6 separate regions of the Mus musculus genome follow, and all the other regions are reported to be linked to region 2. Evidence: microRNA targets listed by miRTarBase, many of them from high-throughput screens and not tested one by one. Region 2 holds a microRNA gene; each other region holds the end of a gene's coding sequence.

Region 1 (5,174 bases), not on the chromosome of region 2:
CTTCCCAAACAGGGTATTCACGGGTGTACTTTGTTGTTAACTTATCATTGAAAACTTAAATGTATCTTAAAACATAAGTATTAACACATCACAATACTCAGTAGTCTACATGAGACATGGGCCAAATAAAAGAGAACACCTGCAGTTCCTGAGCTATGGGATTAGAACCCCAGTCTCTCAAAGTCCCGAGAGTTCAACGTTTTGAAATTGGAGATGATTCAGTGGTAGAGCATGTGCTTATCACATGGGGGTGCAGGGGTCAATCTCCAGGAGGAAGAAAGAACACTTAGACTGCAGGCTGATACACCCCACCCCCAGACACCACACAGCAGCACATGAACTAACAGCCAGGCCAAAGACACTACAGCTGACAGCTCTTACAACTTCCCGAAGCCAGGAATGCCTGCCATGAGCACTCACATGATTAAAGACTTTTTCATACTGGTTTGTTCGGCCAGGGCCCAACATGACATTCTTAGTGTTCTAAAAATGTCATATTCCCAAAAGGGAGTCTACTTATGCTAAAATGAAATAAGTATAGTAAAAGAAATCTGAGTTAAAAGTTTTATTCATTCAACATCTCACATTACAAATATTTAAAAATTATATGCATACTGGTATAAATAGTCATTTGCAAACTATTTAATAACATTAATTTTCCACTAGCACTTCAACAAATGAACTCTTTTAAAAAAGAAACTGTGTTATATAACTTAAGAGTAGAACATACAAAAATAGGAACTTAACGTGAAAATGACTTTAATAAAAAATGAATTACCCTTATTTAAAATGCTAGAATAAATACTACAACCTCCCCATACACAGTAAAAACTATATGGAAATTCAGCCAAGTAGTACAATTAACTGACGCACTTAAATAACGTTCCCTTCTGATAATATGAGCAATACACTGGAAAAATTAGGGATTAGTAAAAACTAGACACCCACTTGCTAAAAGTTTCACTTCCAAAAAAATATAACAAAAATCTGATGAAATTATAAAAACTAATTATACTTTAAATTTTAAAAATATAAAAAATAAAACAGTTGAATACAATATTGTCCCAATTCTTACAATGCTATCAATCACAGTAGCTTTAAAATAAGATAATAAAATAAAGCAAATGACCAAAACCTCTTTTATTCCATTTTTAAAAATAATCTCAAATTTACATTAGTAGAAAGATTGATTTCTGATTCTTTTCTTTAGAAACACCAGCAAGAAAGAGGATTACTCTTAACAGTAGAAAATGACATTTTTTAATGTCTGCAATTAAAAACAAAGAATTACACTGCAAAGATCTTCCAAAGTGTGAGATAAGTATTGCACATAACTGGAGTGAGCTTGCCACAATTCATCACATTCAAGTTTTAAATCACCTTTTAACAGAAGATTCAACTCTTCAAAACAAAAAGGGGTGAATTATCAAGTCTTTCCAACAGCACTCTCATAAAATGCTAAGTTCATTCACTGCAAGTTTTATGTTGCATTCTGCAGAGGTCTGTGTATGGAGAAGTAAATATATTATACCAAAGCCAGGGGGCACGGGTAGGGTGGGGGGTCCTTTACATAGAAAATAATCAGAAACACTTTATTTTACATTGCAAAAATAACCATGTAATTACTCTGTAACTACATTGTAAATACATGGCTGGTGCCATGCTAGTGCGCTAGAACTACATGCTTGGTAAATTGAAGTGATACCCTAAAACCTGTAAACTAATTACATGTTAATAATGTTTGAGTTACATGGTAACTCCCAGCTACAATCCCATGTAATCTGAAGGACATGTAATCATAAAGTTCAGAGTAATAGATAATCATTGTTTATGCCCTGTAAAGAAGTGGAACCAAATCATCTGTAAACACGCTTGTCACACAATCACAAGTAAATATTAGCAGAATAACAATTTCTTACATTAGTCATGCATACTAACATTACAAACCTGTCCTGTGGCAGGCGATTTTGTTTTATTATATAGAATTTAAAAGAGCAGACATCTCTGAATCAAACATGTAACATCAATTAATTAAGATTAAAAATGATTAAACATTCACCCAAAATGTCTGCATTTTATGAATAATTTAAAAAACTTAGTAAGAAGCTGTAGACAATTTTGTTATTTTAAATTTCTACCCTATGGTTATGCATTTAATTTTTTTTAGGAACTACAGTGTTATTTTGTCATTTTCATGCGAATTTTTTTCATTAATTTGTGACTTTACATAGACTATTTCTTAAATTATAGGTACACCAGTAGCTGGTGCTGGGGAAGGATGTTTAAGCAACATGCTTTCTCTTCTCTGCAGACTCTAAAATAGCATTGCCAGTGCACAACATTCATAATTTAAAATGTATGCAGAGCACTGAAATGTATAAAAAGCAGAATATAAGAAAATAAAATTTATTAAAATTATTTATATTAAAAAATGAAGTATATGAAGATCTCTCAGTAATAAAAGTACAAAAAGCTACTCTTTGCAATATGAAAAATTGAGGTATTGCATAAAGAGATATCCCGTCAGTGAAAAGTGTGCCTAAAAATGTTCACTGTTGGAAAAACAAGGTATACAAAAGTAGTGCATAACAAATGTACATCATGTGCATGACAAAATAAGTCAGCTACAGACACTGTACCGGAATTCAGCAGGCCGTGTACAAAGGGAAAAGTATTACTCAAAGCTAGTTCTCAAGCAGTGTTAGTTCTTGTTAACTCATCACACCTGTTTACTGAGTAGGACCAGCACAATAGCACACCCCAAGCCACCTACAAGCATTAAAGGAAGAAAAAGAGGCAAATGAACATTCCAATTAGAATCATGTAGTTCAGGAGAAAAGAAAAAAACAAAAAACGTCCCTGACCAGCTACACGAGAGACAGCACCCTCCACCACACAGCTGCTCCGCTGTTCTGTTAGCAGGGGATTCTTTGACAGTGGCTCCCTCTTTCTGTTGGACTCTTAGACAGCAAGTGCCTCCATTTTGACCTTTGGAACTTAACAGGTGTAGTTCATTAAAGCCTGTGTTAAAAATAAAGGGCTGCTTTTCCTACAGACAGCAGAAGGGTCACCAGCCAGGCGGTGACAGCACTGCAGGCAAGTCTTTGGTTCTGAAGGATCCAAGATGGTACTGTTAGGCAGCACAGCTAGCAAGACTGCACTTAGACTGCTGCTGTTAAATGCTTTGCACACTGATAGTAATCCTTTGAACTACGGTAGGGCATTTAATAAGAGAATGTCAATTAAACCAAAAGTTACTTCCATGACCGGGGCTTCAAGAGACTATTTTAAATTTACCCCCGAAGCAGACTGTTCAAAACATAAGAACATCTTTCAAAGCTAGGGTTGTATTTATAATAAAGCATGCATTACTTGATGAAGTTGGCACTTCAAACACTATGTCCCATGCTAAGTTCGGAAAGTGTATGTTATTGTACCTTATAGGAAGAGTAAGATAACCATACGGACTTTTGCACAGATTTACACAATTACTTAGTTCAACAGTGCAAAACACTTTGCAACTACTTGACTTTTTTTTTTAACCTTTCCCCCCCACATTTTCTATGTTACAACTAAATTACAGGATTCCAAAGTAACTTCAAATGGAAAACAAGGCCAATGGGCAGCCGATCTGTATGTTGTTTTTAATCTTCCAGTTTTGGCTACAAGTGTAGTGTAACACAAAGTCAAAAATGATATCCTTGAGGTATGTCTAGATACGTTGTTTTTAATGTCAAAATGGAGAGCAAAGGCTGACACCTGATGACTGTTAGTAAATTAGGATATAGAGTTTATATATAATAACAAAAATAAAATTTATGTATTTGTTCTTCTGTTCCCCACCAGAAATCATTAATTCTAGCTTTGGTAGGTTTCCTGGGGCCGTGATTAGGAAGTCAGTTAAATAAATACGCGCACTCCCCTCAGTAGTAAAGTCACCCAATTCTTACATTCGGAATTTTAAGAATTATTTCAAAGAAAACAAACTCAGCTCTGCCTACTTTATTTTTTCTGTTGTATGAAGGCATTTGAGGCATGATCAAGCTATCATCAGCCTCAAAGCTCTTATGGTTACACTGCTCAATCTTGCTCATGCATTTGCTTGCTCTGACATACTCTTTCCTGTTAATAACTGTTAACTTCCTCCATTGCTGTTAAAGAATAAAAAGGGATAGAAAAGAGAGAGAGAAGGAATGAAAGAAAAGAACTGGCAAGAGCACTTTCCTGGGGGAGACTGTGTCAGAACAGATGATAGTGTTACTGTTGGTGATTATCTCAATAAAGTTTTCTTATATGTTATATCATTACCAGCAATTAAAACCTCAAAATATTGTCTCATTTCTCTGTTAATATTTCTCTCCTCTAAGAAAATGCTACAGCAAGTTTAGATCCTCTTGGCCTCCAGCAAAACAAGAGAATTAAAACCTGCATGCAACATAATGGCAATGTGAAATGGAGTTGAACATACTGTTTGCAGTGACACGAGAGTCTACAAAATACCTATGTTGTAGGTTGTTCTTTTCATTCTACCACTGATAGTTACACACTGCTGTGCAGGACATGCCAGTGTGAAGAGGCTGAGGAAGAGTTGGAATTAACAAAAGAGGGCACTTCTTCTGAGGCCTGCAAATGAGCTCTGGAGTCATTCATTCTTCAGTTCCAGCGGAATGAAATATGCCGAGGGCGGTCACCACCTTCCTTCACCAGGGGCTTGTGGAATTCTCTGCCAGCACGAGAGTGAATAGCAGCCCAGCAATATTCACAGTAATACTGCAGACAGGTAACATTAGCACAGAAAAATGGAGCAAATTTCCCCCCACAACGGGCCCCTTGACATTCATCACACAGCTGGTCATCCAAGACATATGGCTTAACCTCCACCTGCATTGGAGAGACAAAAAGGGAGTTGGCATTTTGGTATCATGTGCAAGTCCACTTCTGTATTGTGCTTCCACCTCCCTGTGCCAAGGTGCCACAGGAAGGAGCAGTGATGCACTTATTGCAATGAAGATTGTCCATTTTAAATAGCTTTTCATAAGATATCTATATTGATTATCATGTTAAAATAAGGTTTCAGACAAGAAAGAAACAAAAGAAGAATTTTATCAGAAACTATCATAATTTAAACAAAACCATCTAAGCACTTCCATCTCTCACAAAATGTGTACTGCAAG
Region 2 (5,174 bases):
TTTCCCTGAGGCACAATCTGGGGTGCCCTTGAATCCTGACTCCACCCTCTAAGTGGAAGTGTTTTGCTTCCTTTGTAGGTTGTGGAAGTGGGGAAGTGAGCACAGGGTCTCCCTGGGCTGAACCACTCCCCTGCACCCCAGAACTTCCACTCTGCTGAATGCTGTGTCGTACCCACCCTGATCCCCACATGCACCCCTATCTCTAGTGACAGTCAGTTGTCAGAGAAGAGCCAACAGAATGTAGAGAGGGGCACAGGACATGTCAGAGGTCATCTTCCAGGAAGCTACCCTGACTGCAGAGCACCTCAGAGCTCTCGGATGCTCCCACGCTACCCCACTGGGTGGTCGCCGTGTGTCCTGTCCTGTGTCCCTAGTACTTGAACTCTGCAGAGCAGAGGCCATCTCCCACTGCAGCATAGGAGCCAGGAGGTGGGTGTGACTGGCCAGCATGTCATTCTGCTTGCACAGACACAGCTGGCTGTGGTAGCCAGAGGGTGGGCCTGTGTGAGGGTGAAGGGTTGGGGGCTGGGCTGTGCAGAAGAGTATGGAAGGTAGGCTGTGTGATGGTTTGTATATGCTTGGTCCAGGGAGTGGCACTATTAGGAGGTGTGGCCTTGTTAGGGGAAGTATGTCATTGTGGATATGGGTTTTAAGACCCTCACTCTAGCTCCCTGGAAGCCAGTCTTCTCCTGTTTGCCTTCGGAACAAGATGTAGAACTCTCAGCTCTTCCTATGTCATGGTATTCTTCTGCCATGATGATAATGGACTGAGCCTCTGAACCTGTAAGCCAGCCCCAATTAAATGTTGTCCTTATAGGAGTTGCCTTGGTCATGGCATCTGCTCACAGCAGTAAAACCTTAACTAATTCAGCAAGGGATGAAGAGTGGGCAAAGCTCTGCACAAGGGAGGGGAGGAAGGACTACTCCTCTAGGGCTGGAGGCATAGCAAGAGTCAACAGACTTCACCACTGACTACAGGATAAAGAGAGGTAAAAAGGTGACAATTTATCATCCACCATCGATGTTCCAAAGGACAGCAGGGAGGAGACAATGGGGCATGCCACGGAGTGTCTGAGTGTCCACTCCTGTGTCTCTAGCTGCCAACTCCTATACAGCCATCAAGACCCAGCTCAGATAGCCCCTACTTTGGGAAGCCATCCCTGTTGCTCTCAGAGAGTACTCAGAGAGTCCCTCTGGGTACTCTCAACCCTGGGGCTAGCACAGTATCAGATCTTTGGAAATGGCTGGCTAAGTTTGAGAGGTCTGGTAGCTGAGGGTGGATATAGAGGGGCTCTAGGGGTGTTTGGTCTGCCTAGGTGCGTCAATGGAGGTGTGTGGATATGCAGAGTTGAGGCAGATTGGGTTCAGGACGGGAGCTGGGACTCGGGGGATTCATTATGGGGAGAAGGCCAGGACATCAGGGTCAAGGTATCCACCCACGAGGGAGGCCTTTGGTGTCTGGTCAGGTAAGACTAGGACTTTACCTTCCTAAGCTAACACTAGCTGAGGGCTGACCCTCACCCCACTACCACCACCTGAATGAAGGCTTGGGGTCCCTGGAAGAAGGGTATATGACCATTTGGCCCAAGATTAGAAAGCTACATCCACAGCCGTCCCAATACTGTCCCAAGGGAGGCAGGCACGAAGGGACAATAGGCCAGGAATTTCTCAGATCTGGTTAGGACCACAGGCTGAGGGACACTGGAAGCCAGTACTGTGCTCTGAGACTTGGAGTCATAGGGTCTGTTGTTCCACTCATGTGGAGGGGCTTGGGTGTCCAGGGCTTGGGCCACTAAGGGGCACATGGAAGATGAGGGGAGGGTACTGTTCACTACCCAGAGCAGCTCTTGCTGGCAATGTTTCATGCATGCAAACGTGTCAATGTGTGGTTGGCGATCTCATGTCCTCTACGGCCAGTCTCCGTATTTCCAAAATGACCAAAGACCAGTTGTAAGTTCATGACAGAACATCCTTTATTTATACCCAGGTCCCACGTCATAGCCCCCACCCAATCTGTGGCTCCATTTAGCTTGCTGAGCGGGGGCCTCCATGTAGCTGTGTCCCTGGGCGCCTCAGGGAAGGCAGTAGGTTGTATAGTTATCTTCGGAGGGGCAACATCACTGCCCTGAAACCACACAACCTACTACCTCACCCTGCGGTGTCCGTGTTCTGGAGGAGGCCCAGCCGCTCCCCACCCACCCTGGCCACAGGCCACTAGAGCCATAGGGCACAGGGCGGGGTGGGGGAGGGGGAAGTGGAGACAGAGGTTCAGTGAGAAAGGCCTGTGCCTACCAAACAGATTGAGGAAGCCTCTGGTGTCTGAACCCATTGCCCCAGGGACAGGGGACAGTGGCCTACACGGTCCATCTGCAGGCTGTACTCATGGGTGTGCTAAGAATGGCTCCTTTTCAATTTCTTCTCGGAAGAGACGCTTGCTCGTCAGAGGCCTGACCCTGCGCTGGAAAGCCTGGGCAACTCTGGAACATAGTTGAAGGTCTAGTCCAGACCCTCTTTTCATGGAGACCTGTGAGCACAGGTCTGATATGGGGCCAGGGGCAGGAAGGCCCCTTCAGTGTGGGCCAGGGAGAGAAGGTGCCCTGAAAATGCTGTCTGTTTTCATCGCTATGCCCCAACCCTTATACAGATGAGTAACAGCCCAGAGAGGTCAAGGGACTATCCAAGGTCTCTGTCAGGCTCTTTTTGCATGGTAGTTATCACCCCCCTGTCCCTCCCTCAGTCTCCCCAGCCAGGGCCGCCGTTGTATCCACTGCAGATATTGCGGCCACTTCAGGAAAGACAGTAGATTGTATAGTTACCGCAGAGCGGGGCAGAGCCCAAAACCATACAACCTACTACCTCACCCCAAAGGCCGTCAGTCAGTCTTGGCGTAGAGCTGGATGTTGTGGCTTCTTGAGGTCCCTCCTAGAGGAAGAAGGAGAGCTGGGGACATGGTGAGCCCCACCCCCCACCCCCGACACAGGCCGCTCAGTGCTGAGGGTATTAATAGACTGGGATTTTCTCAAAATGGGCCAGGGACATTTAAACAAAATCACAGAGAGAGTAAGGGGAGACGGGGAGACGGGGAAACGGGGAGAAGAGAGAGAAAGCACGGGGCACTGAGCACAGGAATGGCCACAATGGGGGAAGGGTGTCATTTGTTAAAGGCCACCAAGGTCCAGGGTGCTTCCAGTGTCCACCTGGCTGAGACCCAGCCTCTGTCCACTCAACTCTAGCGTAGTAGAATCACCAGGACTCCTGCTAAGTAGTAGCCTTGGGCATGTACCCTCTTCCCCTTAGGCAGGAAGAGCCCCCCCCTCGTGGGCTCTGGTTCTGTCCCTCCCTCTTCTCAGGGTGGCCTGAGCTGACCTTGCTGGGGGAGGCTCAAAACAGTCTTTCCTTGTGGGAGGCAGCCTAACTCCCCATGGTGGCCAGCCGGGCGCAAGTGCAGACCCTGGCTGGACACTCATGGCCAGTCTGTCCCTAACGACTAGCACTTCCAGAGGCCAGCAGAGATCGCTGAAGAAACTGAGGCTCAGTCTCTGGTCTCAGGTAGCTCTGCTCTCAGAAGGGAAAAAGACCTGCTTCTTTCAGGCCTCAGACCGGTTTGCCCAGCATGTGGAGGGAAGCCCTGTGCCCAGACCTAGGAAGCCAGGCAGCTTTTGCTCTCTGCATGAGCCCTAGCGTCTACTGTCACGCCTCCTTTCCTCTCTGCCAAGGGTCAAGGGACAAGTCCAAAACTCCTGGGTCAAAATGAAGCCGTTAGGTCTAAGTCCACATTGTGGCCCCAGATCCGGAGTCTATGGGGCAGAGGAGCTTAGGAACAAGGTTCCCAGAGCGCTGGTGTGGCCTGGCCCGTGGTGGGCAGGCCTGTGATGATAGGAAACACTAATCTTCCAAGCCCCAGAAGGAAATCTGAGCCACTGGGGTGCCATCCCCTGCCTCAAGCCTGGACCCTTTCACTAACAGGCAGGTCAAATACCCTCAAGGATGGTCCCTGCAGAGGCAGCAAGGCAGAAGAGGCGTGGGAAGAGAGTGGTGAAGGGCCCCTTTGGTGATCCTATCTATGATGGGTGGCCCAGGTGAGAAGGCTGAGGGGTGTCCCACACTGCTTAGCCTCTCTGTAGGCTTGACTGGCCATGGTTAATCTCGTCGGTTCTTAGGCTGTGCCCGGATGTGGTGGAATAGCTAGAGACCACATTGGTCATCTCCATCTGAGCCCAGCACCTCCCTCCCCCTCTCCGCCCCCAGAAGCACTTTGAAGGAGGAAAGAGGTCAGACATCAACCCCAGGTCTCTCAACACTTCGGGTTCTGCCCTTGGCTGTCAGGATACAAGTACGTGGGCAGGTCTGGCTGGAAGGTCGAGACTGGCCCCTCTGACTCTGGGCACCATCATGCATTTCCGTGGGGTCCTTTTGGCTGGCCCCTGGGGATTCTCAGCCACTCTACTTAGCAGCAGGAGGCCGGTGTATGCCACTGTGTCAGCCCCAAAGCGCCTTTTCTGCACTTGGTGAGCCTCCCTGAATCTGGGCTTCATTGCAACAGAAGCCTTGCAGAGCCCAAGCTATGGTAGAGAAACACCAGGACACAAGCACCCTAGTTCTAGCAAGGACAGTGGGCCACCACGCACTGTGCCTTAGCCCAACACGGGAACAGATGTGCCTCTGTCTCCCTCATCTGGCCTTTCTCTAGGCAAGACCTTCTGGCAGATCCTCCATTGATACCAAGTGGCCTGGCCTGGGGGAAGCAGGATCACACTGGGGGGATTAAGTGATGGTGCCCGGGGTACAGAGAAAAGAGAGGGACCTCATGCTGAGGTCCCCAGAGGTCTCTCAGGGCTCGGTGACCTTGTCCTCAGGTTGGGAGGCTACGTCTCTTCCACTTGGAGCTGGTGATGAATGGAACTGCACCTCTGTTAAGCCATGCCCAGTCTAAGTAGGCCGATACGGGGTCAAAAGTCACCATATCATATCATGGGTAGATGTGTCATCTGGGGTAGATTGCTGGGGGGTGGGGTGGGGCACAATACTGAGGGCAGGGGTTGGGGGGAGCACAAAGCCTCTAGGTAAAGACATCTAAGCTGAGGGCAGGTCCTGGAGCACTGGCAGGGATGTGCCTCTGACCCTAGCCTTCCTTACTCTCAAGTCTCCCTACTTTCCAGAGGAAGGACATTGGG
Region 3 (5,174 bases), not on the chromosome of region 2:
CTGAGTCTTGTGGTAGGTCCCACTGTTCCTCTGTCTTACCCTTCTGCCTTCTGTTTAAATGGCCGCCTAGCTCAGCCCTAGGATGAGGTAGGAGGGAGAAATGAGATGGGGAAGCTTTGGTCTTACCAGGCTTCCAACCACCTCCAGCCTCCATTGAGGGTGGCCCGCAGGTCTCCATGGTGGGTCTACTTCGACACATCCTGTCCCAGGAGGGTGTATGGGGCCTCTACCGGGGCATTGCCCCCAACTTCATGAAGGTCATTCCAGCCGTGAGCATCTCCTACGTGGTCTACGAGAACATGAAGCAGGCTCTGGGGGTCACATCCAGGTGAGGGACAGGGAGCCTGTCCCCCTAAAACTCCCTCATCTTCATCATGGTATCCCCTACGCTGATATCTTCAACCACAGAGACTGATGGCCTGACCAGTGGATCCTAACCCCACACCCCAAGGCACTGGACCCCAGTACCCAAATCCCCGATCCTAGCCCTGTGTCCTGACCATGGTACCACTGCACCCCACACTTGAGCCACAGGATCCCAGGACTTGATCCCCAACTTCACAACCAGACCTCGAAGCCCCAACCACTGGACCCCACATATCAGCAGCCTGACACTTGATATGTAAAACTATCCATACCCTGGCCCCAAACCCTTCTTCCCAAGCACCTTGACCCTGTCATCTACACCCCAAAGCTGGACCCTGCTTTTCCCTGCCCCACTGGTTGCTAGACCTCACTATGCAGCAGCAGGTGACCCCAATGCCCCAAGCATGGGAACACTCATCCATGTACCCCATAGCCCAGCTCTCAGAGCCCTCAGGCACCAGACCCAGTGCCCTAATGCCACACTGGACCAGAGATCCCTAAACTTGCTGCTGAGTTCCCTGTAACCTGCCTCACAGCCCAGCCCCTGGATTCTAGGAGCCAAGAACTCTCAGCCACAGGGTCCTGACACAGCAAAGCCAAGATCCTGGGCTCTGCCACTGGGTCCCTGGATCCCTGGATTACAGGTCCCTTAACCCAACCAATGCATTTTCCTCTGTTTGAGGTTCCATATTCCCCCATTTTTACTGCTAGGTCTACATTCCAAGCACCACCCTCAATCTCTCACCACTGGACCCCAAGTCCCAATCCACTGGATTCTGTCTCCTGGAAGCATGGGTGCGAGAGCTCCAGGGTCCCTCATGTGGATCCCACATGCCCCAGCTGCTAAATTCCAGATCCCAGATTCCTTCAACCCCTTCTCTGGACCACATTCATAGAAGGCCAAACTTCCAAACACCTTCATACTCCAAGGTCTTTGCTCCTATACCCCAAATGTCACTCCCCAAGTCTAGATCCCAATAGCCCAGTGACAGCATCTCATATCCCAGACACACCCTGGAGCTGATTCCCAATGCATGGAAGCATGCCATCCAAAGAGTCTTCTAGAAGCTCAAGACGCCAGACCAGTGGCTCCCTACCAGGCAGTAAGGAATGGGACATATGAATGCTGCATTGCACCTCAGCTAGGACACACCTCCCTTCCCACCCCCACCCCCAAATCACTTTGTTCCCCGTCCCCCTCTCTCTGCAATGTCTTCCACATTCCCCTGCCTTCCTTCCAGGCTAGTAACTCCCAGATCCCAGGTCCCTCTGGGAGGGCTGAATCTGCTTGTTCATGGGTTGGGAGCTACCAGGGGAAGTCAGGGACACCACCAAGGGGACCACCTGCCTCTCACACTGCCAGTCCTGCTCAGGCCTCAGAAAGTTGCAATCAAGGACCAACACACAACATCCTTCATGAAACCCAGCATCCAGTATGCAAATTAAGTATCCCCAAGCTGACTCGGAGTCTATTTTTCTACCAGAGAACAAAGTCCCCTGGCTCCCACCACATTCCCATACCCTCCACACTTCAAGATTGGATTCTGAGCTTAGACCTGGGGTACCCCGCTCCACCTCTCAGTCTTTAGGGGGACCTCATCAAGGGACTGAGAGGAAAACTGGGATGTTGGGGGGGCATGGTTTCCACCTCTCCCTCCAACCTACACCAAGTCCTACCTCCCTGCCCATGTGTGTCATTTCAAGGAAAAAAAGAATAAATTTTCTAAGCTATTACTGTTGATTTTTAATTGTTTAAATTACATTCGCTTGTTTGAGGGAGGGGCATATGGCAGGGAAGCTTGTGGGGATCTGTCCTCTCTTTCCCTGTGTGGGTCCTGCGGATCAGACTCAGGCTTGGTGTGGAGTGCCTTTGCCTCACTGACCTTCATGGTAGTTTTGTTACTTTTTAAAAAGTACGAACAGGTGTACGTGTGTGTGTGTGTGTGTGTGTGTGTGTGTGTGTGTGTGTGTGTGTGTGTGACAACACTGAGGTACTACCGGAGGAGAAGAGAGAGACATGGGTCTCTCTCCCTCCCCCTCCCCCCCTCCCCTCCCTCCCTCTCTCTCCCTCCCCCCCTCTCTCTCACACACACACACACACACACACACACACACATACACACACGTCCTTTATCTCTTCTCCATACCTCCACCCTCACTCACCTTGTATCACCCTTCCCCTCCCTCCCTCCCTCCCTGCCTTTCTCTATCTCCATGCCTACCCCATCCTCCCTCCCTCCTTTCCCCCCTGCTTTCTTGTTTTCCTTCTGTCCCCTCCTCCTTTGCTTCCTCCCTTCTTCTGACCCTCCATTGCTCCCTCTACCCTATCTCCTCCTCTTTCCTCTTCTCTAAGAGATTGGAGCCTCGGTTTCCACTCCATTTATAAAGAGAAAGGGGGCTGGAGAGCTGGAGAGCTGGCTAAGAGCCCGTACTGCTCCTGCAGAGGCCCGCGTTGCAGTCTCAACAATCGCATGGCAGCTCACAACCATCTGTAGGGCCTGCTCCAAGGTTCCCTTCCTGGCCTCAGAGGACACTGCACTCACACGGTGCCTGTGTGCATACCCAAGCCTGACCACTTCAATCAGATCCCAGGCATCTACATGGAAATGGAAGGATGGAGCAGACTCCACAAAACTGTCTTCAGACCTCCACACATGCACCACAGTGCATATGTACACACACACACACACACACACACACACATTTATGTTTCTTGTCTCTGTGTGGTATGTTCATGAGACTACTAGATACCTCTGATCTGGAGTTACAGTGGTTGCAAGCCACCCAGCATGGGTCCTGGGAACTGAGCCCAGGTCCTCTGCAAGCAATATGCACTCAACAACTGAACCATCTCTCCAGCCCCAATTAAAACACACACACATGGGGTGGGGGTGGGGGGTCCGGGGGCCTTAAATCTGGGTGAAGTGGTACAGCGCATGAACTGGTAAAGGCAGGAGGATCAGAACTTCAGAGTCGGAGCTGGTGAGATGGCTCAGTGGTTAAGAGCGCTGACTGCTCTTCTGAAGGTCCTGAGTTCAACTCCCAGCAACCACATGGTGGCTCACAACCATCCATAACAAAATCTGATGCCCTCTTCTGGGAGTGTCTGAAGACAGCTACAGTGTACTTACATATAATAAATAAATAAATAAATAAATAAATAAATAAATAAATAAATAAATAAATAAATCTTTAAGAAAAGGAAGCATTTAAAAAAAAAAAAAAAAAAAAAAAAAAAAAAAAGAACTTCAGAGTCTTTCTCAACGTCATCCTGGGCTACATGAGACCCGGTCCCACTGATCCCTACCTTAAAAAAAAAAAAAGAAAGAATTTTTAAAAGCATTTTTATTGTATGCAGATGTGGCAGCGTGGAGCTCATCTGCTAGGCTCTGCAGCTATCCCCACCACTCATCTCCGGAACTCTCCATCTGTCTACACCAAAGTTCTGTCTCTGTTCAGCACTAACTCCATTCTGCTTCCTGCCTTGGGAGCCGGAGTCAGGAGGACCAGGAATTCAAATTCATCCTTACCTACTTGGTGAGTTTGAGACCAGTCTAGGCTACATGCCACCCTGTTTCAAAACAAAGCAAATGAATAAATAACTATTGGTTAGGTACCATTCGGAGGACCACACTGGCTCTTCCTGAGCCATGGGAACTAGGATGTGGACACTGTGGGAAGGCAGGGTCAGCCACGCTGCCTACCATCATGCTTGTGAGCTCACAAGCACTTTTGTGACCTCATCTTCCCCTTCCCCCTAAACCGCAAGGCTGGATAACCAGCCACTTCCAGCTGGGAGCCAGATAGACGCCCCAGAGGACGCTGAGACTGGGACCTTAATCCTTCAGCAACTATGGGAGTCCATCTCGAGGTAACTCAGCATCCTCGTTTGAAGGTTCAAACCTTGCTTAAGAGGGTCAAGGCTCAGCCGGGCGTGGTGGTGCACGCCTTTAATCCCAGCACTCAGGAGGCAGAGGCAGGCGGATTTCTGAGTTCAAGGTCAGCCTGGTCTACAGAATGAGTTCCAGGACAGCCAGGGCTACACAGAGAAACCCTGTCTCGGGAAAAAAAAAAAAAAAAAAAAGAAGGGTCAAGGCCTTATTTAGGAAAGCTCCACCCTGCCCTACCCCCACCCCTCTCCAGCCTACCCTACCACCATCTGAAGCATGGAACCCAAGGTGCACACACATGTATGAGTATGTTTGGACATGTGGGTGAGAACAACCCTGAGCATCCTTCATCATAGCAGGTAAGTCTGGGGAGTGAGATGGCACAGGCTGGACCAAAGGGAAAAAGCTTTGAGGCCCATATGGTACGGAGCACCTCCCTCCAGACAGAGTAGAACAACCTACACTGAGACCATGTGTGAGACCACGTGGTAGTTCACACCTGTTATCCCAGCACTCAGGAAGCTGCAGGCAGGACATCAAGAAAGGTCAAGGTCATTCTTGACTGTTTTAGTGAGTTAGAGACCAGTATGGGCTACTTGAGACCCTGTCTTAAAAGGGGAAAGGGGAAGAAGAGAAGGAGGCTGGGGCTGGCTAAGGAGACGAAGTGCCTGACACTCCAAAGCATAAGGCTGGACTTCAGAACCCTAGAACCTGTGTAAATGCTGGGCAAGCCTGACAGCCATCTGTAACCCCAACAGCACAGAAGTGAGACAGAGATGGGGGAGCAAGCTGGCTGGCTAGACCAGATCAACTGCTGAGCCTCTGGGCTCAAGTGAGGAACTCTGCCCCCACATATAAGGTAGAGAGTGGTCCAGGATGACCCTGCACATCAATTTCTGGCCTAAACACACTCACACA
Region 4 (5,174 bases), not on the chromosome of region 2:
CTTCAGTTAGCAAAGGCTTGCTTGCTCTGTGCCTCTTACATGTGTAGAGATGCCAGGCTGCCCTTGATCCTTCTTTGACTGTCTCCTAGACTCAACCTGCACTGTATTTTTTACTTGTATGCAACCCATTGTTTGTTATTTTCTATTCTTTTAGTCCTACCTTTGAGAAAAGGAGGTAATTCCATGGGAGATGTGTAGTGTCCAGATGCAGGATTTGGGGCCAACCTGGTCACTGACAGAGCTTGTCTGCTCTTTGCAGGGAGGAAGTTAATAAGGCCTACCGGAAGCTGGCTGTGCTGCTTCACCCGGACAAGTGTGTAGCACCAGGCAGTGAAGATGCCTTCAAAGCAGTTGTGAATGCCCGGACAGCCCTCCTGAAAAACATCAAGTAGAGGCAGAGGAAACTACAAGCGAGCTCAAGTGCAAACAGACTCCCCTTGAGGTGAAATAACCAACATGGAGTTTTCCTTCACGAATGCTCACTGTTGTGTTCCCTCATGTGTAAGTTAATAGTATGGGTGCCTGTTACCATGTTGTGGCCATTTCTCAGTGAGATGACCGCTTTTGTGTGAGAGATAACCCCACATCTCTTATGCACTTCATTTCTTATTGCCAGATAACTAGGTGTTTGTCATTGTGTCATCGCTTATGCATTCACCTGTGAAAGTCCATGACTGTGACCCACCTGCTCTTCCTCCCAGCAACCCTCCATCCATCCATCTGCCCACCATCAGAGAAAGGAATAACAACAGGAGAGAGAAAGAGCCTGGCCCCCGGGAGCCTGCACCCCACTAAGCGGCTTCCTGGTTAGTATTTTAACCATCAGCCTGTACAGTTAGTAGCCAGAGATGGTGGAGGATGAGGCAGGAGTATTGCAAGAGAGAGGCCAGTCTGGATTGAATTACTTGGCAAGACTTTCAAAGAAAAACAGGCAACCTTGTAGAAGAGTGATGTGAGCTAGCACTGTTATCTGCCCTTTTAGGACACTGACTCTGTTCTTTCTCCAGCCACCAGGGGGAGACAAGCCAGTGCTAAGAGAGAGGCAGTGCCAGCCACAGGAGCTGGAGAACCTGAAGCTCATCCCGGATCCCAGGCCTTTGCTCTGCCCTAGAAATAGTTGCTAGCATCAAGCAGCAAGGATGCTGTGTCCCTGGGAATGAGGGGCCCGACACCAGAACAGAAGCTCTTAGAGGGCGCATTGTGGGTCACTTGGGAGTGTGCGCTCAGTCACACCATTCAGACGGAAAGGCCAGCTTGGGCCTTTCCTGAGCTCAGGCATGTTGGGCACTAGGAGGGACCCTGCATGAGACTCGTCCCTGTCCTCAGTCCTCACCACAGGTGGTGGGAGAGGCAGGCGGGCCCTCTTCCACAGACCCGTCTCTTTCTTCTGCTCTCCTCTCGCCCCACTCTTTGTTACATCCCACATCTGCCATGGCCTTTCCTCTTGCCCTGGGCTCAGCTGACTTGAAATAAGTAGGATCCATTTGGGGCACACTGGGACGTCTTGGGCCTGTGTGGGGCAGAATCCCTACAGTTTCTGCTTGGACTCCAAATTTCTGAATAGTATTTTAAAATTACAAGTATGAAAACTCATGTTGCATAGAGAGAAGCCTTTCTCGTGCTGTTGCCCCTGCCTGGTCCACAGGACTGGATGGAGCTGATGGAGCTGGGCTCATGTTGCTCGACTCCTGTCATCCCTCTGAACTCTGGTATTCTTATTTTGAGCTGCAGCCACCTGTGCTACCTGGAACTCAAAGGATGACTTTTAAATACCTATCCCATAACGGTTGCCAGATAACATGTCTCTTGCCTAAGAAGACAAGCTCTTGGCTTCCTGTCTAAACCCTTGTAGTCCTCTGGGTTTTTCCTTTCTCCATAGTGGCCTCACTTTGCATGGCTGTGCTCTGCGCAGCTGCTCTGAGCTTTAAAATGTTGTTCTTAGTGAACTCAGATGTGTATAAAAGGATAAAGAGGTCTGGCATACGGCTGTATTAGCATACGGCTGCGTGGCTTGAATTAGCTTCTGAGGTGATTGAGCTCCACCTCATGGTTCTCATGGGCCTCAGTTCTGCTTGAGGCTCCCTCACGCCTAGCACATCTGATTATCCAGCTGCTCCTGGAACAGAAAGTGGGAGTCATGAGGATGAGAGGTGTGTGTGGTGCTGTCAGCCTGAGTGCGGGGCCCAGGCTGCGCCTCGTTCAACCACATGGGCAGGAGAGCAGTTACAGCAGGGGGCTTTAGTGTTCCCATTTGGGTCCCTCAGGTCACTTGCTGATTCTCAGATCTTGAGACGCTGTTCCTGACATCTTACTTATATCTAGGGTGGCTGCGTAGCATCTTATTTATTTATTTATTTATGTAAGAGTAATAAAATGAAGAGGTGAAGCCTCAGGGTCCCAGAATGTGTCTGGTTTCTTTAGTCTCTCAGCAGAGCATTAGGAAACAACAGAGCATAGCTCAGAACGAAAAGTATTCTGAACCCTGGCTTCGTGATCCGGTACAGACCTCTGCATTCATTGAAATTCTTAGTGCAGCTGTGTGCTTTGTCCTTCGACATTTTGAAAACTGCTTGCACATTTAAGATCTTAGGACGTCAGCAGGAGTCTCAACTCAGTCATTTCAGAGGCTGAAACGTTTTTATAAAGAACCTTGCCCCCCCCCAAAAAAAAGAAGGGATAAAATATTTGAACAACTGTTATCTTAAAAAGCTGTGTCCTTCTCCATCTGAGTCACCAACTGGTGTCACCTCTTCACTTGTTGGAAGTCCCTGGAGGCATTTCTGAGTTCGTCTTCCAGCCTTCGTCAGCACTTTAGAGCGTCCTCCCCTCCCCTGGTGTGTGCTCTCCTCTGTGTCTCCCTGGAGCTGCTGGGCTCCACTCTCAGTGTCTCTCTAACCCCGGAGCTACTGGGCTCTGCTCTCAGTGTCTCTATCCCGGGAGCTGCTGGGCTCTGCTCTCAGTGTCTCTCTATCCTGGGAGCTACTGGGCTCTGCTCTCAGTGTCTCTATCCTGGGAGCTGCTGGACTCCGCTCTCAGTGTCTCTCTACGCACTGCCGCTTTACTTCTCCATGTCAATGTCGTCTGTGGCTTTGCCAGCATCTTAACTCACGAGTCCAGATGCTGAGAGTAAGGCTGCTGTCCTTCTGCACACTGTACACCATTCTTTAAGGCTTGTATTTACCTCAGGAAACATATTCTAGTATCTTCTCACTGATTGAAATCTCAAGTGATAAATACTTCTTTATACCTGCAAAATGGTACCTATTTCTGTCTTAGTTCGGTGAGCAGCTAGATGGTCAGGTATCTAGATGGTCAGGTACCTATTTCTGTCTTAGTTCGGTCAGGCAGCTAGATGGTCAGGTATCTAAATGGCTGAAAGCTCGTCAGAGTAGGACAAGGGGCTCCTGCCAGCACTGAATCGGGGACAAGTGGTAGAAAGACAGAGGGATTGCCATTTGAAGCTAGGAAGCAAGGAGCCAGCATATCGCCTCTAGCAATGACAGTGATCCCTTCCAGGTCAGCTCAGTAGGTTCTCTCATGCTGCCTCCCATGGAGCTAAGTCCCCAGCGTTTTTGTAAACCTTTTGAAGATGAATTTAGTTGCAAAATCAAGCTAAGCAATTTCCACTTCAGGCTTTGCAAGCAAAGAGCTATTGCTCCTTCTCATCCTGGTGCTGAGCACAGTTTTAGACCTGGTTAGTGCCCTTGGACATTGATTGCTCCATTAACTGTCCCTGAGGAGGGTGGATGTGTTTACTTGTGGTATGGGCAGGCAGTGGGTCTGTGTCTTAACACACAGTGCGGTGCTGGGCAGTCTGGAGAAGGCCCTTGGTGAAAGGCTGTTACTGAAGAGTTGGACAGTTTGGGTTAGCTCCCTGCACTGGTGCTGACCGCTCCCTGCACATTCTTTCCCTCCACTGTGAATGCTCGTACAAGGTAATTTACATATTTGCTTTCTGTTGAAATAACTGAAAGTGTTAAATCTACCAGTTGTTTATGTCTTGTATACAGAGTGTCATATGTATTTAAGTTGTGTATTTTTATAGAGTAAAGTCAAATAGCAAACACTGGTCTGCTGGCTGCATTGATTTGTTGAGACCTGATCTTTGGTGTAAAACTAGACCACACAAAAATCCAGGTCCTAATCTGCTGTGATCTTCATTCCGCAAGACATGTACCTCACCATATGCCCAGCACTTGGGAGGCTGAGGCACGAAGATCAGGAGTCTGAAGCCAACGTAGGTCGCAAAGAGACCCTGCCTTAAAAATCACAAGCTAGGTGTAGTGGTGAATGTCTGTCTGTAGTCTACCTTACCTAGGTGTAGTGGTGAATGTCTGTAGTCTACCTTACCTAGGTGTAGTGGTGAATGTCTGTAGTCTACCTTACCTAGGTGTAGTGGTGAATGTCTGTAGTCTACCTTACCTAGGTGTAGTGGTGAATGTCTGTAGTCTACCTTACCTAGGTGTAGTGGTGAATGTCTGTAGTCTACCTTACCTAGGTGTAGAGGTGAATGTCTGTAGTCTACCTTACCTAGGTGTAGTGATGAATGTCTGTAGTCTACCTTACCTAGGTGTAGTGGTGAATGTCTGTCTGTAGTCTACCTTACCTAGGTGTAGTGATGAATGTCTGTAGTCTACCTTACCTAGGTGTAGTGGTGAATGTCTGTCTGTAGTCTACCTTACCTAGGTGTAGTGGTGAATGTCTGTCTGTAGTCTACCTTACCTAGGTGTAGTGGTGAATGTCTGTAGTCTACCTTACCTAGGTGTAGAGGTGAATGTCTGTCTGTAGTCTACCTTACCTAGGTGTAGTGGTGAATGTCTATCTGTAGTCTACCTTACCTAGGTGTAGTGGTGAATGTCTATCTGTAGTCTACCTTACCTAGGTGTAGTGGTGAATGTCTGTCTGTAGTCTACCTTACCTAGGTGTAGTGGTGAATGTCTGTCTGTAGTCTACCTTACCTAGGTGTAGTGGTGAATGTCTGTAGTCTACCTTACCTAGGTGTAGTGGTGAATGTCTGTAGTCTACCTTACCTAGGTGTAGTGGTGAATGTCTGTAGTCTACCTTACCTAGGTGTAGAGGTGAATGTCTGTAGTCTACCTTACCTAGGTGTAGTGATGAATGTCTGTAGTCTACCTTACCTAGGTGTAGTGGTGAATGTCTGTCTGTAGTCTACC
Region 5 (5,174 bases), not on the chromosome of region 2:
CAGGCATGGTAGTGCCTTTAATCCCCAGTGGGGAGGCAAAGGCAGGAGGAGCTTGGTCAGCTTGGTCCACAAAATGAGTTCCTGGACAACAGGAGCCACACAGAGAAATCCTGTTTTAAAAGACAAATAAACAAAAATTTGGTGTGTGTGTGCATGCATGTGTGTGATTTTTTTGTTGTTGTTTTTTGTTTTTGTTTTTTCGAGACAGGGTTTCTCTGTGTAGCCCTGGCTGTCCTGGAACTCACTTTGTAGACCAGGCTGGCCTCGAACTCAGAAATCCGCCTGCCTCTGCCTCCCGAGTATTGGGATTAAAGGCGTGATGTGTGTGTGTGACTTTTGAATCAGGGTCTCATGCTGCCTCTTAACTCACAATGTAGCCAAGAATGACCTTGAACCCTCACACCCTCTTGCTTCTCCACTGCTGGGCCTGTTTTCTGCGGTGCTGTGGAGGGAACCCAGGGCTTCCAGCAGCCTAGGCCAGCCTTCTTTGGACCCACCCACAGCCCAGACCTAACATTCAGTTTTTAGTGTTGGGTCACGGCTTGGCGGATGTTACTGCATGAGCGTCCTTCGTCTTGTTTCGGTGGTACAGAGGTAAGACAATCTGTTCCCAGAGCTGCCCTGCGGCCACCCACACCCGTGGCTTCTCGGTGTGCAGCAGGTCAGGTCGGCCAGTCTGCCCTGCCCCAGATCTAACCAGCAAGACCCCGGGCTGCAGCATCTTCCAGACCACCTCTGCTTTCTCCTCGGAGTCCACACGGGTTTTGTGACCACTGGTCTGTCCAAGAGATGGTTGTTTTGGACATTCTAAGATAACTTACTGCCTAGTTTTATGGTAGAGTGATGGGCACAGGAGCTATTACTGTGGGGAAGAAAATACAGCAAACCATCACTTTAGTGTTTTGGGGCATAGGACTCAACACTCCAACTGTCGTAGGCTCAACCCTTGCTGCATTTATGTGGGGACGCCATTGCTGTCTTCCCAGAATGCCTAACTCTCCAAGTCTTTGGTTTCCAGTTTTTAAATTTTCATTTATTTGCATGTGCCTGTGTATATGCCATGCATGCGCATGGAGGACCGAGGAGAGCCTGAGGTCCCCACGGTGGAACACTGGTCCTTAGGCTTGGCGGTGAGCACCCTACCCGCTGAGCCACCCTGCCAAAGCCCTCCCTTTGCAAGCAGAACTGAGCCCAGTTGGTTTGCTTCGTGATGTTGATGAGAATAACTCTCCTGGTACTTGAGAGCTGCAGGTGCCCCAAGGTTTAGGTTTGGTCAGAATTCTCCAGGGATCTGGCATCAAAGAAAACATAGGGCTGGTGGTAATGGTGGCATACACCTGTAATACCAGCACTTGGGAGGCAGAGGCAGGATATTGAGTTTCAAGCCAGCCCAGCCTGAGGAGTGAGTTCTAGGATAGCCTGGGCTACATGCCAAAACCCTGTCAACGAAAACATGGTGTCATTCACGGTGAACGCACGTTAGCAATCTGGACTAGTTAGGGCATGCCACTCCAGGGTGGTCATATCTGAATAGTTCAGACAGAACTTTGGGTTAGATGCAATTAAGCCTTGCGTGTTCTTAGGCTGTCTCTCATTTCCAACAAAATGTGACCTTGGAGCCAAGACAGGCTTGTTTTGACCAACCTTAAGTCTTTCCTCGGGTGGCAAGTTCAGCAGGATGCGCCAGATGGGGTGTCCGGCCATATCCCAGCCTTACTGCTTGGGGCAAAAGCCCTGCAGAGTTCACATGCCAGACAACGAGGCATGCTTGGGAGTCTCTTGCTTTCTACATGATCAGACCCCCAGATGTGCCTGCCCTTCCCTTTGAGGAGGTTCTGACCTTGCACCCCGGCAAGACCGTGATGACCTTCCTCCTCCCAGACCTGTGCCCGGCTGTCCCGGGCTCTGTTGCCTTGCAGACCCCAGAAACAAGAGAGCCAAGATGAGGTCACTCTAGCCTCCCCAGGTCCACACCTGCTTACTGTCTTGAATTCCAGAGTCACCTGCTTGGAGAAATCTATTTTACTATTAAGTAATACAATGATACCGAGAGCCAGGCTGTGAGGCGGGGTTTTGGCATGTAGCCCAGGCTATCCTAGAACTCACTCTGCAGCACATGTCTGATGTGCTGATCTGCACAGCAGGCCTTCGAGAGGCACAGGGTGACTGCTGGCCATCCACTCAGCCGCTTGGCCTCCCCTTGCCTTTAGGCACGGGCAGCTTCTCCTCTCAATCTCTATTCTTCCTTGGGGCCTCCCAAGAAGAAAAGGACACTCTTCTTAAACAGTTCACATTTATTATTGTAACAATAAAAAAATCTTTTAAAGACTATCAGTATTGTATTACCAAGAGTGAGGTAATATGTTTACAAAACATTTACAGAATCTGATATGCAAAGAATGGATTCAGGAAGGAGAATGGGTTAAGACACTAGAAACAGGGAGAGCCCAGAGTGGAGGGAGCAGCATTTTAGGAGGTGCTGGGCACTGGGAGGAGCAGCCCCGTGTGCGAGCCACACGGTCACCTCGTAGCCAGCCTCCCCTTACAGGGCAGCCAGTGCCCTGTGGCTCGGGGAAGCTGAGGGCCTGTGAGTGTGCAGTTGTGTGCTTTGAGCTCTTAAAGATGCTCTCAGCTCTGGGGGGTTCAACAGTGCCTCTTCGGCATGGACTTAAGGGGAACAGCTCTTCAGCCTGGGACATGGCTGCGACTCAGATAGGTCTACAAACATCTCTGGGCACATGTGGGCTGTCGAGTGAAGCGCTTTCTTGGAGGATGTCAGCAAAATCGCCATCTGGGACATGGAGAAAGGGAGAGGGGAAGGGAGAGAGAAGAGAGAAAGAGCAGGGGCATCTTCAGGTCCTTTCACTCGGAGCTGGGAAGCCCTGACTGGAAGCAGCATGGACGCGGTAGCTACAGCCCTGCTGTGCTGTGTACAAGCGCTCCCACAGACAGGAAAGGCATGGCAGTGGGCCAGAAAGGCCACCAAACAGAGGCTCAAGCACGGCTCAGGGTGCCAGGAGCCAGGGGGCTCATCGGCCAAGCCAGGCTGCTGTGTCGGCTCTCCTCATGCTTGCTGACATGCCACAGCCTCTCCATAGCTCTCACCGCACAGCCAGCCACCCAGAGCCTCAGAGCAGCGTCTACACAGGCATCCACTCCCGCCATACACTCTCATGGCCACTCGGATTTGGCACACATCTTTAGACACTGTTACCACACACACACAAGTAGATCCTGGGCCCCCCTCCTCTGGAGATCAGCCACCTGCAACTTCTAGACAGTTCGCTAAGAAGCATGCTTTCCCCATAAAAGCCGTAAAGCAAGGATCTGCTCCAACAGCAGGCTCTGGGGAGTCAAGATCAGGGGAAAAAAAAGAAAGAAGAAAAAAGGCAAACTAGCCCCAGCCTCTGACCTGCTTCTATGAAACGCAGAAGAACAAGTGCAGATCTGCAGCCCCTCCCCAGCTACACCCCACTCCCTCATGCACACACACAACACCTACACACATACCCAGCATCCACCCACATGCCGAAGGCCACTGCAAGCCATGCACCCCCCTGGAGAGCATTGCTAGAGTTTGCACTGCCACACTTCTAAAGGCAAGTGTGACCTACTGCTTCCAAACACCCTGCTGAGAGCTGAGGACCCTGGGTGCTAGGACTGAGGATCCTGGGTGCTAGGAAGACTGAGGACTCTGGGTGCTGCTGGGAGGACTGAGTACCCTGGGTGCTAAGGGCTGAGAACCCTGGGTTTTGGGAGGACTGAGTACCCTGGGTGCTAAGGGCTGAGAACCCTGGGTTTTGGGAGGACTGAGGACCCTGGGTTCTGAGAGGACTGAGGACCCTGGGTGCTACGGGCACAGAGCCGCCTCCTGCAGAAGGAAAGGCAGCACTCAGCAGAGGGAAAGAATCCTCCCCATCCCCTCCACCAAGTTCACGGACAGAAAAATTTTGCTCTGAAAAATATCAAAAGATTTGAAGAGGAGGAAAGAGAAAGCAATGTTTAATGATGGCGGTGTTGTCAGGATTCACGAGGAGCCCTGGCAGCCCCTCCTGGGCTGCAGTGTCTGCTCGGGATCAGGCTGGCTCTGACCCAGCACTGGGTGCTCCTCAGGCTGCCAAGTCCTTAGCGGAAAGGGACCTCAAGAGCTGTTCTGGATCCACAGGCCACCTCCACTAACAGGGAGCCGAGAGGACTCCGCTGCAGCTTAAGGGCTGCCTGCTGCAGCTTCGGTTCCGTGGAGGAGGAGGTGGCGAGTCTCTGCAGGGTGTCACACAAGTCATTCACTAGTGGACAAGGTGGAGTTTGTTGGTAACATTTTTTGCATCGACAACTGAGACCAGTCAGTCTCTTACTGTAGATAAACTACTTTTCTTTCGAGAGCCCTTGTGCTCTGGTTTGATTTTGTGCACGCTGTATACAAAATCTATGGCTATTGAGTTAAAGTTAGGGGTAGAGTTAAAACTACCTCTCAGGATGGTCTGGGGACCAGGTGACTAGTGACCATCTGCAGATCTAGCTGCTATCTAGAGGGAGGAGTCTGCACATCCAGGGGTGGGCGGAGTCTGCACATCCTGGGGTGGGCGGAGCACAGCAGCCGGGGCGCCCGCCCTCCGCGCAGGCGCAGGCTTCGCGGCACTACCTGGAAATCATGGAGCTGGATTGCGACTGGCTGGAGGAGGTGGTGGCGGCACTGAGCTGTGAGAACCCGCTGTGGCTAGATTCCAGGCTGGTCATGGAGCCTCTGCAGATGTAATCAACAAAGAACCAGGAGTGAGGAGCTGCTCTGAGCCGCCCCAAGCGAGCATCTCTATCTGCTCCCCCCCCCCCCCCCTCCGTCGGCCCTTGTAAAGTTGGGACAGGACATGAGAATCAATGGAGGAATCCGTAGTTTGCCCCTCGGGTGACACTGCACTTAGCAAGTGCTACACTCCCTTTCCTATGGAGAGCTGCAGGCAGTGAACAAGTAGTCCCTGCTGCCAGAGCCTCCCTCTCAGGCACAAACCTGAAATCTTCAGAGCCGATCACTTCTGTGTAGTACATGACTTTGCACTTGTGGGAGGAGACCTGCAGGGAGGCCAGCACGTCGTCCACTCGGGGTAGGTTGGTGGCAGCACATGCTGGCATGGTGTGGAATTTCCACTGTAGGATGTAGAAGCCTGGCCACCTGGTCA
Region 6 (5,174 bases), not on the chromosome of region 2:
TGCCTGGAAGAAAGGAGGGGAAACAAAGACCTTGCAGGGAATCTGGCTCCAAGGGCAGGTACCATCAAGTCTTTCTTCTCTGGTAGTCTGTGTTGACTGCTGTTGGCTGCTGGGGAGATAGAACTTAATTTCCTGGTTCCTAAAGGACGATTTGCTTTCTGTTTAGGACTAGGCATCCCCTCAAGTCTGACCCAAGCTGATATTACGTATGCTCTAGCTTCCAGGAACTGTCCTCTCACCTGGACATGCAGGCACAGTTGGCCCACATGTGCATGTGTGCAGGCAAATAAGCGCACGCGCTCGAGGCACACACACACACCTGCACACACACATATACCCCTAGGTGATTAGAACATATAAAAGCATTGTGCTCATCTTCATGACCTACTATACACACCCTTCACCTCAAACGCCGGGTTACAAAACAGCTCTTCTGACCACATCACAGCAGTTGTGGATGGCTGCTCTGGCTTCTAGACTCCATTGGGTAGGGCAAGGAATGCATCCGACCAACCAGGCGACCAGCTGCTTAGCCAGCTGAGAGGTGTTGGGTAAGCACCAACTCTGGCCTCCCCAATCACAAGGCCCCGACTAGTTTATGAGAGTCATTTCTTAGGACTGTTGGCAGATGAGCAATTTCTATGGATGAGGAGGTCAGTCTTCCTCTGGAGCGAAGAGCAGGCTTGCTACAATACAGGTTGCTCCTACCGAGTGCTCCTCACTTGTAACAAACCCACCATATGTGGTCCCCTCGGGGTGGGAACAGGGGTTGGGGGAGGGACAGCGGGATGAGGGGGGACTGACAGGGGTTGTGCTACTTTCTAGCCAAAGCTCGGATCCAGAAGTGATCTCAGCCTTGTGGTAAACACACATTAATTCTTAAAGATTCTTATTTCTAACTAAGTGTCTATTTGTGTGACTTGGTTTGTGGGCACTGTACCTGTGGAGACCAGAAGACGAGGTTGGCTCTCCCGAGGCTGGAGTTACAGGTGGTTGTGAGCCATCTGGTGTAGGTGCTGGGAACCCAACCTGGAGTCCTCTCTCCAAGAGCAGTATGGGCTCTTAACCTCTGAACCATCTCTCCAGCCCCCAAATCAGCTTTTCCAGACAGTAATGTTAATTTTTCAATGCCTAACATCTCCTTGGTCTATGAAGCAACCATTGATGTCGGTGGCCGGCAATTTGTGGCCAATTTGTTTTCCTACATTGGAACAGAGCCGCACAGTTACGCACCAGGATTTGGACTCTCTCTGGAGCTGAAGAACCCTCACCACACTAAGTTTACGTGATGAAGGGGGTGGAACCCAGGGCCTTTTGCATATAACACAAGCACTTCTGAGCTGTAGCCCCAGCTCCTGGGCTATTTTTATGTTCTACCAGCAATGTAGCTGTGACAGAGACTATGTACGTAACCTGTATGCCTAGGATTGGATATTTAACCCTTTAACAAAGTTTGATGACTCCTGCAAAATGTAATTTTCCTTCTAGGGAAAGGGGCGACCACAGTAATACTGGCAAGGGTGAGTTAGTCTGTCTTCTTACAAGTCGCTCAAAGAAGCTGTAAGTCACTTATCAGCGGGTTTCTTTTTTAAAAAGTTTATGAATATTTATGTGTGTGTGCAGGAGGCTGTGGGGGTCAGAAGAGGCACCTGATCTTCTGAGCTGGAGTTACAGATGGCTGCTAGCTACCATGTAGGGGCTGGGAGCTGCATTGGGAGCGGGGGGGGGGGGGGGGGTGTCCTTTGCAAGAACAGGTGTTCTTAGTTACTGAGCCATCTTCCCAGGTCTCAGATGACTTGCAGGGACTGGTATCTAAGAGCTTTCTAGGCGGAGGGCGCACACGAGGAGGAGACGGTCCATTTTCACTAGGTTATTGGCTAACCTTGCAGCCGGAAGGTCTATCTCCGGGGGACAGTGCTGACCTGATCCTTTTATGTCAGCCCTGAATTTGGACCCTAGCACCACAAAACTACAGAACTCCACGAAGCAGCCACCTTCTTATACATTGTGAGAATCAACACCTGTGGACTAAAAACAAAGGACACATTGCCACTAGAACAGAAGTCAGTTTTAATTCATTGAGAAGTGCAGCAGTGAACAGGGTCCGTTGAAGGGCACTTTCTAAGGGAGCGGCTGAGATGACAGCTCCAGGCAGAGGAACTTCTACAACAGCTGATGAGAATTTACAAAGTCCATTGAGCGCAAAGTGCTGGTGAGCTAAAGAACCCAGGACACCCATCAGTCCCGCGGCCATCAGCTGATACCCCTTGCTTTGTCTTGAGGATTCTGGGCTGCCATCTTCCATTAGAAAACATAAGATAAAGATACCCCTACGTTTGAGAATACTTCCCACAGATGAAGGTGTAACTTCCATAGCCACTCTATTTTTACATAAAAACCCGGGCGCTGGCAATTCAGAAGGTGTTTGCAACAGTACCAACTTGTTGAACTCAAAGACACTCTAATGTGTACCCTACTTTGAAATTGTATCTGAGGGGCAGTTTTAAAACTGGAAATCTTATAAGGCGAAGTCCCTGCATTCCATGTTGGTTTTAATGGTTCTCCCTTTGAAGAGCACTGGTACACATATACCTGGCCTTCAAAGGAGATGTCAAAATGCTGAGTACAGAGAACAGGGCCGGCCTCCTGCAGTGCATCTCTTGTGGGTAGAGGCCATGCACGCTGCAGTCTGTTATAGAAGGTCTACTTGAATGTTTGCAGGAACGTTCCTTAACCAGGAGGTTCAGAGAGGATCTTGTGTCCCACAATCCTAATGTGTTACCTCCATCTGAGGGCCTCGAGGTAGGACACCTACTGCAGCCTACTGACTGTTACCACTCTGATGTCGCCTGCTTTCAGGAGCCGGCTATAAAACTGAAGACTCTAACATCTCAATCCCAGACCTGGTAGGAGCTGCCGACCTTTATTTGGGAACAACTGTGGTCAGCTTTCACTATTTCACTGGTCATGTTTAGAATCCAAGTGGGGGTGAATGAAGCCGGTATCCACATTCAATTCTGTAACTTTTAGTTTAAAACTTAAACTTTTCCCCCTCTAAAGTGGCCACGGCCGAGGTGTCCACTCTACTGCCTGCTGGCCTCTCAGTATCACCAAAGTTGCTGGGGTCACATGAGGTAAAGGAATAAACTCAATGGCTGTCCCCCCAACATGGCCTCTGGAATTCTCAAAGTGACTCATAGCTGTCTTACAAGTTAAAGCTGGGCAGAGGCTGTGTAAAGCTAAACCCGCTCACTGCCGACGACAGGCTGGAACCGAGTTTCGCCACTCCGTGCTGCCTCTGTGGACGTCAGGGTGGAACTGGACTTTAAGGAACAGAGTGCCGTCCAGGGCATCTGGGAAGCCGGCCAGGGGAATACTGACTGGAGCCCTAGTTAGTCAGGACTGGAAACTCGCACTTTTGTGAGATCAGGGAGTGGGGTGAGGCAGCCGGTCCTTCCCCTCCACCAGGAGACACTAAGATTTTCAATGACAATGACAGCTAACTGCAGCCAGGCAGGATGACTTGTGTGGCGCTGACACTTGAGAACCCTCCAGACAGGCACTTGTAAGTGCGGCCCTTCAGCGCACTGATCCAAGAGCTCAGGAAGCGCATCTGGCCCCCCCTGGTGCTCCTGGGCGCTCTCAGGTGGCTGGAGTCACTAAGAAGCTTCTTAGGGCAGAGCTTGGGCGACACGTCGCACATTAACCACACCACAGGGATGTCATGAATGTCCTTTCTCTACGTGTCCACAGACAGCAGCTCTTCTCGCAACTGTGTGAGTTTTGGTGAGGGGCTCGGTGTGAAATGCTATACAGTGCTTTTGATTTGGGGGCTAGCTAAAATACCAAAAGGTTTTATCTCTGCCCTAAAGTATTGCCATTATCAGAAGAGTTTTACAGATCCAGACTCGACCACGTGGGGACTCATATACTGTGCCCAGCCAAGATGAAGGGACAAGGAGAGGACAAAGACCTCAGGAGTGGTGGTTGTCATCTGAGGAGAAACAGGGTCAGCCACTTCTGACAGGGGCGGATTCACAGTACTGGAAGTCAGCTGACTGGATTATTTTTCAAACAAGACTTGAAAGAGCAAGGCCAGAGCTCCCGAGGCGTGGGCTCCCACTCCAACCACGGCACCGGAAAAGGCTGTGCAAGGATCCAACGCAGAGGCTGCTAGAGCGGATGCTTCGAGAACCTTCTCGTTCTGACGCTGCCGTGACTGTTGAACATGAGACGCAGGTCAAACCTGTACCTGAGGGAAGCAAAGGGAGGACGTCACGTGAATGCTCGCTAGCCATGTGACTTCAAAGGCATATCCTGCAGCAGAGAGCTGCCGGGAGGGACTGACACACCAAGCAGGGAGCTGTCACATAAATGTGGTTTCAGTAGCCGAGAGCATTTTCCATGCAAGCTGTGACCTGAGGAGAGCAACACGGTTAACTGCAAGAAGCAGGAGGGAGATTCCTTCAGAAAACAGCAGCAACAAAACATTACTACACAGCCTTGGCTGGCCTGGAAACTGCTACGCACCAGGCTGGCCTCAGACTCCCCAACCTGCTGCCTCAGGCTTCTGAGTGCTGGGAATAAAGGCAGGCAGGCAGGCTACGGGAGGTGAGCGAGTCTCAGGTATAAAGCATCCAGATGGAAGAGCTGACCCTCACTTAACCTCCACTCAAGCTCTGAGATCGCTTCTTCTTTTCTAGCCGCTGGCACTTTGGCGCACACACAAACACGGGTCTTAGATGTGTGCTTGAGCCAGGCTCATGAATTTAAACAACTCCAAGTTGTCTCTGGCCATCAAACAGAGAGGCATTCATGTAGAATGTATGGAACCCTCTCTGTAAGTGCTCCATGGGAACAGCTGAGAGTTTGTGGCTATAAAGAATCCAGACTGGCCAGAAATGGGCTTTCCATGAGCCGAGCAGAAACCTGGCAATGAATTTACACTCCTTCTGCCTGTGGGCCGATCTCTGCAGCAACACTTTTGTAAAGGGTCAGATGCTATGGTCAGGACTGTGGACCATCCAGCCACAGACACTGTACAACACACATGTGTGGCTGCGTTAAGAGCTTGTGCCTATAGGATCCAGTCCGATGACCCTACTGCAGAGGATCCTGGAAGGCCAAATGTTTGGCAGAAAAGAATATCCTGGGATGATAAATTAGAAACAAAC

Evidence for each region. Region 2 holds the annotated microRNA mmu-let-7b-5p (UGAGGUAGUAGGUUGUGUGGUU, at 2,130-2,151, opposite strand). A microRNA usually pairs through its seed, bases 2 to 8, with sites in the 3' UTR of a target mRNA and lowers its output. Matches are read on the target gene's strand: a 7mer-m8 pairs with bases 2 to 8, a 7mer-A1 pairs with bases 2 to 7 and ends in A, and an 8mer does both.
Region 1: miRTarBase lists Cpeb4 as a target of mmu-let-7b-5p. Seed matches in the 3' UTR shown: 7mer-A1 at 3,703-3,709 and 7mer-A1 at 2,497-2,503.
Region 3: the mRNA of Slc25a23 is a reported target of mmu-let-7b-5p. Seed matches in the 3' UTR shown: 7mer-m8 at 2,040-2,046.
Region 4: the mRNA of Dnajc27 is a reported target of mmu-let-7b-5p. Seed matches in the 3' UTR shown: 7mer-A1 at 3,179-3,185.
Region 5: the mRNA of Sec14l1 is a reported target of mmu-let-7b-5p. Seed matches in the 3' UTR shown: 7mer-A1 at 2,353-2,359.
Region 6: miRTarBase lists Gns as a target of mmu-let-7b-5p. Seed matches in the 3' UTR shown: 7mer-A1 at 3,131-3,137 and 7mer-m8 at 2,800-2,806.

The regions. Positions count from the first base shown.
Region 1 is chr11:31,931,012-31,936,185 of GRCm38, reverse strand. It overlaps Cpeb4 (cytoplasmic polyadenylation element binding protein 4), which reads right to left. Exons shown (of 10, transcript NM_026252.4): 10 at 551-4,881. The coding sequence ends at 4,654. Among named protein-coding and RNA genes, the nearest start is that of 4930524B15Rik, 32 kb to the left of the region's middle.
Region 2 is chr15:85,704,302-85,709,475 of GRCm38, reverse strand. It overlaps Mirlet7b (microRNA let7b), which reads right to left and starts at 2,157; the gene lies at 2,073-2,157. Lncppara (long noncoding RNA near Ppara) reads right to left here. Exons shown (of 2, transcript NR_110483.1): 2 at 1,952-2,922. It overlaps Mirlet7c-2 (microRNA let7c-2), which reads right to left and starts at 2,873; the gene lies at 2,779-2,873. Gm34622 (a long non-coding RNA gene) reads left to right here. Exons shown (of 3, transcript XR_384306.3): 3 at 1-605.
Region 3 is chr17:57,040,637-57,045,810 of GRCm38, reverse strand. It overlaps Slc25a23 (solute carrier family 25 (mitochondrial carrier; phosphate carrier), member 23), which reads left to right. Exons shown (of 10, transcript NM_025877.4): 10 at 148-2,100. The coding sequence ends at 332. Slc25a41 (solute carrier family 25, member 41) reads left to right here and starts at 4,157. Exons shown (of 7, transcript NM_175333.3): 1 at 4,157-4,237. The coding sequence starts at 4,220.
Region 4 is chr12:4,106,543-4,111,716 of GRCm38, forward strand. Dnajc27 (DnaJ heat shock protein family (Hsp40) member C27) reads left to right here. Exons shown (of 7, transcript NM_153082.4): 7 at 260-4,070. The coding sequence ends at 392. Among named protein-coding and RNA genes, the nearest start is that of Adcy3, 25 kb to the right of the region's middle.
Region 5 is chr11:117,156,371-117,161,544 of GRCm38, reverse strand. It overlaps Sec14l1 (SEC14-like lipid binding 1), which reads right to left. Exons shown (of 16, transcript NM_001166506.2): 15 at 5,006-5,174; 16 at 2,277-4,744. The coding sequence ends at 4,639. Among named protein-coding and RNA genes, the nearest start is that of Sec14l1, 44 kb to the right of the region's middle.
Region 6 is chr10:121,394,126-121,399,299 of GRCm38, reverse strand. It overlaps Gns (glucosamine (N-acetyl)-6-sulfatase), which reads right to left. Exons shown (of 14, transcript NM_029364.4): 14 at 2,046-4,252. The coding sequence ends at 4,174. Among named protein-coding and RNA genes, the nearest start is that of Gns, 32 kb to the right of the region's middle.